2 linked regions of the Nothobranchius furzeri genome follow. The protein of the gene in region 2 interacts with the protein of the main gene of each other region in a biochemical or structural test. Links are inferred from orthologs where the notes say so. Each region holds a gene or a part of one and is shown on either strand. Other genes may lie near its edges.

Region 1 (5,649 bases), on a different chromosome or scaffold from region 2:
ACTTTTTTTAATTAAAGCTTTAATATTACATGTTTATTGTGTTGTTGAGCAGGTCAAAATATTTTTTGTAAAAGTAATTACTAAAAATATCCTAGATTTTTACTATTATCTTGGCTATTTTAGTTTCTGGTTTGGGCATCACTAGATTTTATTTCAAAATAAATCACTCTAGGACTTCTTAAAATAAAAATATGCATTTTTCAATTCAAAATGATAAACTATGATTTCCTCGACGCTTTAATATTGCTGATATATTTGAATTTGGCTACAATTTAATCCAAATGAGTTGAAATTTCCATTAATTTGTTATGTCACCTGATTATCGTAGTTTTAAAGATCTACGTGATAGTTAGAAAAGGGGTTTTATTTCATTAATAAAATTTGTACTGGCTGCTGATGCACCGTCATTTTATCTTTGGCATATTGCTTTATCAATTAGATAGGATTGTAATCTTTTTAGACATGCCTCTAATTTATGTCCTTCAAAAATAAAGGCATGATGAAAACTAGAAGAAAGAGTACGATTATAATTTTATTACAATGTCAGTGACTTCTACACAGAATACATGAGAACAAATACTTGCATACAAATGAGGTTAAATGGAAACTATAGGCACTTTTAAAGATATGGGTACCGTCAGACTGCACCAAAAGCTGATATTCACTTTTAGCCATGTCATACATTTTTAAGAAACAATAAAAAAGACACATGTGTGAATCTAAACAGCATTTTAACAAAGGAGCATGTCCATAAGTGTAACATTCAGCTTTTAGGTGACTTTCACGTATCGCTTTAGGGGAATAACTGTTAGACATCGGGGAAACACCGTAGTCACAAGTCTGACATTTACTCAGAATAAAATCTGATGAGTCTAGAAAACCACGAGCGAAAGGTCACTGCCAATCTCGCTTCCAGAGGTTTGTGTTGAACGTTTTCCAAGTGAAGAAACACAGTTTGGCTAATTAATGAATGGATTTTGGTGTAAACTGTCCACACTAACATCAGCATAGATGGGCGTTTATAAAGTATTTTACTATAAATAAGAGATTTCATTATTACATCCCACAAATTGATAAAAAAAATAAGTTGTTTGACTTTGCAGCACATTCAGATAGAAAAAAAGTGTTTAACATTTTTTTTAAAGTACATATTTTTTGTTTGTATACATGATCCAAAGTTTAGGGTCCTATTAACACAGAGTTCAGGTAGTACAAAAACTATCTCATCGAACTGGACTTATTTGCTGTAAATTACTGTCTGCTCTTTAAACAGTAAATACAAGCAAACTCCAAGTTTAGCTGCTGTTTGCTGTAGCCAATTCTCAAACAAACAGAAAACATGTTTATCAAACCATTATGTAAACAACTAACACTGGTCACGCCGTTGCAGCAGTTAGATGTCATGATGTGATTAAGATTTCAGCGTTTTAACAGTTTGTTCCGCAGCTAAACAACGGAAATAAACGAGTGCACGTGAAACGCACACCTAAGGTTTTTACATCTTACTTTAAAACATTCTGCGCCGACGATCCAAGGATCGTGGAAATGTTGAATATTAGTACTGAACTATGACTTTAAATGACAGAGCTCATCTCTGAATAGCTGGTGACTCCAGAGGCCTAAATGGAATTGCACAAACCTCCAAACCTGATTTATTAATCCAAACCACTAAAAATGCAGTGTTCACGCTAATAATTTGCCCTTTGTTTCACAAATGGAACAAAGCTGCATGTTTTATATTTTGGAGATGTTCTCAGATGGACAACTGCATGTAATTCAGTCAGAGCGCCACTGGAGGGAGACAGACTGAAGGTTTTAAGTCACAGGGAAACGTGCTTGCAGGAACTGTTGCTTTGACCTCCATGGCGCTGGAGCAGAGGTTGTTTCATCCTGTTTTTGACCTCAGACCATCCACGTGTTGTCACTCTGAAGACTCTGTGTGCATCGTGGACTATGTGCTCCGCCTGCGTGATGATGTAAGTTGACTATCCATAACTTCTGGTACTAACAGCACCTCCTGGCCGTGGAGGCAGGCTGCCGGGTGATTTTAAAGGAATCATTGCTTTCCACATCAGGATTTTCCAGAGGCGGAATCTGTTTACCTAAAATTGCAGAACAAATTGTTTAATTTGAGTGTTTTTTTTAATGACATAATATAAAACTTGCTAACATATGCACTGCTGCTTTTCCTGTGCAATTTAGTTTCTATACCTCAAAACTCAGCTGAAATCTTATGAGATCTACAAGCAACCAAAGGATGTAAAAACAACAGTCTGGAAAAAACAGCTTCCTAGACTGGCAGTGGACTTCAGATGTTGCAATAATCAGTTTAACTTGTTTCCAGTCAGTAATTTGGTGTGAAAACAAAACAAAATGAGAAGATTCTTTTTAAAAGGAAAACATGCGAGCAGATTAGAGTCTGAAATTCAAAAATCTGAGAACGATATGCCCGGAAATCAGGAAACACACCCAAGTCATCAAGAAAAACAGAAAGTCTATAAATAACTGGATGAATGTAATGCTTATAAATGATCGTCTGCGTTGAGTGATGAGATGAGCTTTTGTTTGAGGACACCTGGAATATACTTCCATAAACCGAGGAGAGAAAGCAGCAACAGCATGAAAAACCCTACTGATTCTCTGGAACAGCTCCTCGACGTTGACGGCATTTCTGGCGCTGGTCTCAATAAAAATAGCTGCGATTGATTCTGCAAACTCCTTTGCTTCCTTCATAGGAACTTCCCTGTAAAACAGAAGAAGAGCCAAGCGGCATGTGAAGAAAATGTTCCAACCTGCATGAATCCAACTGACTCAAGAGTGGACTGTTAAAAGCTACAGGTGACACAAATGATCTCCAGACAGGTAGAACTAAACAGCTCCTCCCACCTGATGTCTCCTAAATCATTCTTGTTCCCTGCGATAGCTACAACGATGTCCTCTGGGCCGTGCTCCTTCAGCTCCTTAACCCACTTCTTCAGTGTCTGGAAAGAGTCCTGAATGACAGGAACACAGCGTGGTCGGCTCTGGCATTTCTTTTGAGAACATGCCCAGCATTTTTATTAACTCATCACACAGCACTGGTGTTTTTAAACAAGTTTCCATTAGCCGAGTAGGAAAGAATGACATTTGTAGGTCATGGATGCACACAGCATCTCAGAGTGGAGGAAAACGACCTTCAGCTTCAGCTCCAAACCATTTATTCACTTGTTCATCTGGTTTCGAGGATGCAGACGCCTGATCATACAACCGCTAATTAGCATAATTTAATTAAGAGATGTTAAACTCACCAGTTTGGTTATGTCATAGACGATGACAGCAGCAGCTGATCCTCTGTAGTACATAGGAGCTAATGAGTGAAACTAAAACAGGAACAATAATTTACGGTAGTTAGTAAAAACACATTTATCATATATTGAAGACTTGTTGTCAATTGAGACAATATCATATTCTGATTTCTGCAACTCAAGCCAAGCCAGGGCATAAAAAATAAGATAAACGATTAGAATGAAGACCAAACAAACATCAAAGTAGACTAAACAAAAACAATAACTTAGGATGACTGAGGGAAGCAAATACAGGTGAAAATATGCAAAACGCAGAGTAAAATTTTAATACAAGCTCTTCTCCCCAGTAGGGTTGCAGGAAGCTGGTCTCTAATTCCAGCAACCTGAGAGGCGGACACCCTGGACAGGTCCCCAGTCCATCACAGGGACACGTAAAGACACGCAGCCATTCACACACCTGGACAAAGTCCCACACAGGAGAACTCCACGCAGAAAGGCAGCAGCTGATGTTTGCACCTGTGCCCTTCTCGCTGTGAGGCAACAGAGCTACCTACCGTGCCACCATGAGGCCTAGTGTTCAGAGGTTTGTGCAAATATTTTTGCACATGCACAATACCTAAGTATGTAACGAGAGTATTTATCTCAGCAATTGGTGGATTGTTGTTGCAGGGAAGGGCTACCTGAAGGATAAAACCATCTCTTCAGGTGAAGTGATATGGCAGTCAACTTAAAATGAGTTCCTTATTTTAAAACCACCTAGCCTAGAATCTAGACCGTCATTCAAAGCAAAAATAATTTTGCTTTGAATGACGGTCTAGCAACACTCCACTGGAACCTCGGCAGCACCAGCCAATCACAGCACTCCTCTCACAGAACAAAAACCTGCATGTTAGGTTAACTGTTCACTCTAAATAGTCTCTAGATGTAAGGCTAGGTGATGTGGCCTAAAATCAGTATCACAATATATTAAGGATTTCACCTCGATAAATGGACGATAACTACAGGTGTGCGCAGAAATAAAAGTTGTCCACTAGATGGCGCTGTCACATGTATTAAGTTGAGTCACATTTTTACGTGACTAAAGGTGGTACAGCTTCTTAAAAGGTACATGAATGCTGCAAACCTACACACATCTTTTCATTTTTCTTATCATCTAATTTATTGACATGGGAAAAATTATCACGATAAGAGTCAGAAATTTCGATAATGATACATTTTTGAAGGCTGCGCAGTGACGCAGTGGTTAGAGCTGTTGCCTTGCAGTAAGAATGTCCTGGGTTCGATTCCCGGCCTGGGATCTTTCCGCATGGAGTTTGCATGTTCTCCCTGTGCATGCGTGGGTTCTCTCCAGGTGCTCCGGCTTCCTCCCACAGTCCAAAAAAATGACTGTTAGGTTAATTGGTCTAAATTGTACTTAGGTGCGAGTGTGTGTGCATGGTTGTTTGTCTCTGTGTGTCTGTGTTGTCCTGCGATAGACTGGCTCTCTGTCCAGGGTGTACCCCGCCTACTTGCCCGTTGACTGCTGGAGATAGGCACCAGCCCCCCCACCCCCACCCCCGCGTGCGACCCTGCGTGGACAAAGCGGGTTCAGAAGATGGATGGGTGGATGAATACATTTTTGATTTATTGCCCAGCCGTATCTAGAGGACTAGTTGATTGTCCCGTGTCGCTGTAACGGACTGGTGACTTGTTCAGTGTGTGCCCCTCCTCTTAGCAGTAAACGCTGCAGACGGGGCGAAAATGTGATGTTTGTAGCCAATTTCACAAGTCATTTTATTTCTGCACAAGTTTTGGGTTTATTACCATTTGTTTTAATATGAGGAAGAGTTCCAGTAAAACAGTTTCTGCACAAACATCCATCATCTTTTCCCTTCATTGACATCCACGTATGCAAAACAAACATAAGCTCTTGGGTGAAATCTCACACTACATCGCCATAACAACTCTAGTCAACACCATTATTAAAACTAAAACTCAACATTTCTGTCTTAGACCTCAGTAAGACCTAAAGACAGAGGTCTCCAGATATTGTTTTCACACACATCCAGGAAATGCTTGAACTAGTTTTTCCATGCAGTAAGCAAATTTTGCAAGTCTTAGGTAACTCCCCATTTATCCACCCTACCCCCCCAACCATCCCCAACAGAGCACTAAACCATCCATCTAATGAATCTCCAAGACATCTAGAATATTCTCTTCTTTTGAGTGTAATAACGTACATAAAAGCAAACACATTGCAACTTTATCTAATTATTTTGGATATTTTTGTTGCATAAAACCAAAAATGATAGAAAATGCATGAAGAAAAGTCCTAAAACTCAATATTAGAATGTTAAGAGCACACCAACAGCCACAGCCCCAGAAA
Region 2 (6,116 bases):
TACCGGTATGCTCCTAGATAAAGACGTTTGGTTGTAAAAACGTTCTAAAATGCCATACGGCTGGAAAAAGGCAGCGCTGTTTGATTGGCAAGACTTTTGGAAGATAAAATATGGAACGGTGCTAAAAAACACATATTAAAGTCAATGATGACTACATATATTTGATTTTAACACAAAAGTACTCACAATCTATGGAGAGGTCAATGAGCAAGGCCTCTTCAGCCTCTGAGGGAAACAGAATAAAAATTTAAATAGTGCAGTTCAAAGGTCTGGAGTGGGAGTGGCCCACTGGTGTTATAAATTATCTCAAGAAGCACTACCTGTTCTGTGTTTACTTTCATATGCAAAGGAAAAGCAGAAGCTTCTAACACACAGCGAGAATGTAACGTCCACTGGTTTAAAATGTAAGGCTATGCATGTCTACTATACTTCTAATCCCAGATTATTTTACTTATTCTGGTTTAAATTAGAGTCAGCATCTAACATTTTTTGAACATTTATTTACACCCAACATACACAGGAAAAGCTGTAAGTATTTTGACTCCGACATGGAGAAAAGCCACATACCTCGTACAATTTCAAATTTATCATTAATGGGTATGGACAACTGAGCCACCGGACGGGACACAACAGCTTCAGGGTTGGCCAGAACACCCAGTCTGTGTAGAAACAGCAAGCATTCTGCCTTATCACAACTGTTGTTTATTTTAATATCAAGATTTTCCATCTTAAACATAAAGCACATATATAAAAAACATTGCTGCTAGCACTGACGTTCATGCAGGGTGCTTAACATTAGAACAGAGAAGATGGAGTCAAGATGTGCTTTAATTATCATGAACAATAGAAATTGAAAAAACACACATGCAAAACCTCTCTTTAGTGGCACACAACAAAAACAATAACTAGCAAGCACTGTGCATCATTCAGTTAATCAATACAAATCCACTGAGCATATAAAGAAGATTAAAGTGTTAAATTATCAAACTGTTGACACAAACGGCTTCAGAAGCATGATGTAGGTTTATGTAGGCAGGGTCACATTCCTGTGCTCACTAACATCTGACTAACAGCAGAGGACAAAGAGTCTTCCTGGGCACTCACTGCCCACTCTTCCCCTTCACTTGGTCTGATTATAGTGGAGAGGACAATTATTCAGGACTGCTGGGCAAAATGTGTCAGAAGCAGTTTCCCGAATCTGTCAGGATGAGAACTTCCGATGTAAACGCAACAGAATATTCAACAGGAAACAAAATGGTTTTTTTTATTCTCCATTTGTACATTTTAGAGCCTGACGTGACAAACCCTCCAGTTTTGTCTGTTTTATCCAGATTATTGTGTCAATAATCCCATAATTTGTGTACCACAAACTGGTACTGATTGTATCCCAAGCCAATGTACAGAAGTGCATAAAAGCAAATACCACAGAAAAACACACCGAAGGCACAGAACACTGGTATGAACCTCAGGTAATGCCTTATGTCATGCAAAATCTTTCAATCATTTAAAATAAATCATGTCTATTTTGAAACATTCATAATGGTTTTTTCCCTCTTCATGACATTACTCTTTGGTGGCTTGTGTGGGCTTGCAGCCTGCAGCCTGCGTGCCCATGTGAGTCTCATTACAGCTAAAGATGAAGTGAAGGAATTCTGGATAATCTGCAGTGAGGTTACTGCTGGTGAAAGTAACTCCAAGCTACACATATGATTAAACATCTCCCTACTGTCTACACACAAAGTCTCCTTTCACCAAATAAGCCCTGGAGCTGTCCAGCTCACAGAAACCACGTTCTGCCCACATGGCATCCAGTTATTTTACACCTAAGAGCTAATCTGTGTAGTGACAAGAGTGGTGTGTGTGTGTGTGTGTGTGTGTGTGTGTGTGTGTGTGTGTATGTGTGTGTGTGTGTGTGTGTGTGTAAAGGGGCATGCTCATTCAGTTAAACATCCTGGATTTAAAATAGCCACCAGCCTGAGATAACTCAAAAAGACAAATAAATCTGACATTCAGGATAGAAAACACAGACCGATGTTGGTTATCCCGGTCAACATCAAAATAACTTGAATTTTCATTTGCACATTTTAAGATTCCATCAGTGTGACAGCAGTCTAGTGCAAAGTGTGTTTAAGAACTTCATAAAACACAAGATAACAGCTCGATTGAATGTTAAGAGCTCTATTTTTGATTATGGAACAGGAAAGTAACTTGTTAAAGGTTAACTGATGAAGCAGCTCCTGTATACCCATATAATTCTGCTCAGGTCACACACTTCAGGTCAACTGCAGCTTCCTCTGACAAAGACAGCTCTCAACAACTTGGGTTTCATTTGAATGAAGTCAAAACTAAACAGGAGCAATAATAAAACAAAACACCTTACTGTGTTATTAAGCGATTCAGCAACAAACACACAGCTTTGGGACATTGGGACAACCCAATGTCAACATACTTTCAGTAATTGTTATTTCTGATACTTACTTAAACTCTCCATTGTGTTCAATTAGTGACAGTAACCTGGACTCCTTCTGGCCAGACCTCAGCTCCTGAGCTTTTACAGTTTGAGCAGCACAATCAAGGAATCATTGAGATGGATGATGAGATATCACAACTACAGCTGTTACCCAGTACTACCGGAACAGTGTTCGAAAATCATTATGAATAAGTCTGTCTTCAGTTGAAGAAAGATGTTAATGAAGCCATGCAAACTGAAAATCAGGAAGGAAATTAATGACAAGCATTAACAACGTGAAATAAGAGAGAAAGAATAGTGCCAGTGGCAGCAAAAATCTAACAGGGGCAAATATTAAACCAGGTTGTTTTATACAAACAACATTTGAAACCTGAGCCTGGAGGCTTTTTCATAACCAGGGTAAAAGGAGAAACCTGGGCCAGATCAATCCACAAAAAAACGGAGACTTAGATCACTAGATCCACAGACGTGAAAGGAAGAATTCAGGGTTTGACCGAGCCCATCAGTACAGTAGAGGAGCGGCAAAGAACAAAAATATATGTATCTAAGCAATTTTAGCAATACAAGCTACACATATCCTCCGTGTTTAGCAGTTCTTAGTGTTAGCTGTTACTGTGACTTCAACCACTGGATAATCGCAAATAGAATGTGATGCTACATAATCATAATACATAACAAGAAAGGTAAATAAAACTGGGTGAAATTATCCAGTATTAACTAAATGTGTCGCCACAATAAATGATGTGTCACTGCTTTTGTGGAAAAGAAAATTCTTTCTTAAATCAGCCCGAATAATAACATTAAGTAGCTATCTCACAACGGTTTAGTGAATTAGCCCTCTGATCAACTGTATTTACATGGCTAGCTGTTCATAACTCATTCGCTAACTCGTATACAATTCAAACACAACTTTAAGGATATTGCCAAGCATTCTTCGTTGCAAATCCCCAGCGTGGACTCCATTCTTACCAAGATAAATAAATACGTATCACTTTTAGGGTCTTTACGTTGAGCAGATGTTGAGGCAAAAAAAAAGTTAAATCTCCACCCGGCGCTGTGGCGGCCTCCTTCCGGGAAGCTGGCTAACCGCTCCTTTAGCCAGCTGTTGTTATTGTTGCCGCTGGAAGGTCTCACAAACGTTTAATGGAATTTAGGAGTTAAAACAACCCCTGATAACTTCCATCATTCTGTCAGAAACATGAGAATGTTCAGTTTCTCTCGTGTCCCTCTCGGTGTCAAGAGACAAACCCCTCGGACAACATAACGTTATCGGGTGGTTTGTAGCACACAGATATGCTACACTTCGAAGACTCCCAGGGTTTGCTCCCTAGCTAGCTACCCAGACTAGTCGTTCTTCGCCTTCATCAGACTTCAATTTTAGTGCACTCCTTCGCATGAAGGTACTTAGCGCTCCCCAGTGTTCTGGAGGATGAACAGACACCCGGCGACTTCATGCCGCAAAAACAAATGCTTCAAACTAATAGCAAATTATTTATATTTTCTGCTTAAAAATCTAAATTACGTTGTCCAAGACAGACACAAATATTTAAAAAACAATATTTGATTTTTTTCTTGCATATTAAACAGATTCAGTTGAGAGTATTAAAAAAACTTTTCAGTCAGTTTCCTTGGAAACGTTTTATTATTGTGGAGTTGTTTGAGACTAACACCAGAATGAACAGTTATGAAACAGAATATTTTAAAGAAAAGTCAATCAAATGGATAGAGTTCATCTGAGCCTTGTCCATTCCTTTACACAAAGAAAGTCTAAATCAGAGAAGATAAATGTCATTGTGGATAAAACCATACTTGTTCAAATCAAATCTGAACAAATAGTAGTTTGAATAGAGCACAATGACTCCTTGTTATTGTGTGTTTTACATTATGAACATAGTTAATTCAGAGAGGTGTAAGTTAGGTGACATTCAATCAAATATCTCTCTGTGTGTATTCTGCTCTTTTAAATCACCGGATATGGCTTCACACAACTGTTATAGGTTTTTATTTTGTGAATTGCATAAGGACTAGAGTCCAGGTGTGGCCAGATGTCTCCAATGGGCAAATCCCTCGTCTGCTGCACATCAACCATCTCCATTGTTAGAGCTGACGGGCTGAGAACATCTGTTGTACGGTAAGACTGTGTGAGGCGACAGAAGGAGGAGGTGTCTGAGACTTCTTCATCGAAGAGGTTGTCTATGAGCTCCTTCCTCTTTCTGCGTGATGCTTTTATCTGATCATTCAGGTCAGAAACCAGATCCTTAACATCTCTCACTATGGTGGAGCGAATTCCAAACAGGCAGAGTAGGAACACCAGTCCAGCACAGATGCCAGAAACGAAGTACAGAGCTACTCGCTCCGGGAAAACTGAAGGAGAGACGAATGTGGTTATCATTGGTCAAACAACATTTGTACTGCTTCATCCTGTACAATATGCAAATGCTTTAAAGGGGTCTTGACAGTTTTTGAAGTTATAATAGTCCTATGGTCTACGCAAAGTGTTTATGAAGTTCTTTGCTCTAAATCCCCATCCCATAAATCAATCTCAACAAATTTGTTCTTGCCAGTTTCAGTACCTTCCAGAATGAGCAGTCTCAGGGCTCTGTCTCTTTCAAGCAGCACTGGTTAGTTTACAGAGAATGCTGCAGAGCACACCATGTGGCCATTCGAGGAACTGCAGTCCGCAAAATGTGCACTTCCATTATGTACAAACCTATTTTTTATTGTTTACTTAATTATTTACCTATTTATTTTAATATTATTTACCACCACCACCCATTGTGAGGTGGGGGGAATCACATGCTGATGGTCTTACTCTGTCGCCGACAAACAGGAATCGACAGCTCAGTTAACACAAAACAAATTACATTAAAGGCTGCCCGCTCCAATTTCAGAACACATTTTGTGTAATTATGTCAAAATAAACCAATTTACCAGGTTACAAAGGCATACAAGTCATTAGATGGGGGGGGGGGGGGGGGGGGGTCTTGAACAGTTGATGTCATGCATTTAGGGGCCTATAGAGGCAGTAGATACCCACAAAAGGATGCAAAAACTGAGTTTTGCATAATATGCATCCATAGACTTTTTAGTATTGTCCTAAACCAATTGTCCACTAAATATTTCACTGTGGAATTTATTTTTATTTATTAATTTTCAGAGTGTACAAAAATGGAATCAACAGTTCACAAAGGGTTTCCTTGAAATGCAAGAGTAACATGTGTTCCTATGTATCCAGCCTGATCTGCAGGCACTACTGCACATACCCCACATTTTTTCAAAGATCTCCAGAGAGTTGGTTACAAACACATTTTGAGTCTTATAGGTGGGGCCAGTGTACCATCCTCCTGCAGGAGAGAGGGGTCTGGGCTCAGTCAGCCTGTCCAGCGCAACTAAACCTGTCAAAGTCAGTGTCAGTCTCACCGTGTGTGTAGTCTGAGATCATGAAAGGATCTGTTGAGCCTCGGCCCACATCTTCTAGAAGAAACCTGGGAACTGAGAGGAAATGAAAGATTTTTAAATCAACAGAAAGCCACATTGCTTCAGCTGAAAACAAACACATGTATTCTGTTATTTACCACAAGTAAAGGACACTCGCAGGTGTTTCCTGGTACCGGGAAAGCAAGGGTCCCCAAAGGTTTGGGTGTCA

What was found. The genes of interacting proteins can lie anywhere in the genome.
Region 1: the proteins of ocrl (region 2) and rab31 form a complex in vitro, tested with the Homo sapiens proteins (2 studies listed by BioGRID and IntAct, with this or other methods). The link is inferred for Nothobranchius furzeri from reciprocal best matches to the Homo sapiens genes OCRL and RAB31.

What each region holds. Positions count from the first base shown.
Region 1 is NC_091751.1:42,854,608-42,860,256, reverse strand, and holds the end of rab31 (ras-related protein Rab-31), read right to left. Parts: intron 3,360-5,649; coding exon 3,288-3,359; intron 2,994-3,287; coding exon 2,887-2,993; intron 2,744-2,886; coding exon 2,634-2,743; intron 2,103-2,633; coding exon 2,005-2,102; 3' UTR 1,265-2,004; downstream 1-1,264. UniProt on the Homo sapiens protein: The small GTPases Rab are key regulators of intracellular membrane trafficking, from the formation of transport vesicles to their fusion with membranes.
Region 2 is NC_091741.1:85,246,961-85,253,076, reverse strand, and holds the start of ocrl (inositol polyphosphate 5-phosphatase OCRL), read right to left. Parts: upstream 3,611-6,116; 5' UTR 3,434-3,610; coding exon 3,393-3,433; intron 2,560-3,392; coding exon 2,479-2,559; intron 660-2,478; coding exon 568-659; intron 226-567; coding exon 187-225; intron 1-186. Other genes in the region: si:ch73-335m24.2 (protein eva-1 homolog C), read right to left, coding at 4,431-4,834, 5,734-5,814, 5,891-5,962, 6,046-6,116. UniProt on the Homo sapiens protein: Catalyzes the hydrolysis of the 5-position phosphate of phosphatidylinositol 4,5-bisphosphate (PtdIns(4,5)P2) and phosphatidylinositol-3,4,5-bisphosphate (PtdIns(3,4,5)P3), with the greatest catalytic activity towards PtdIns(4,5)P2.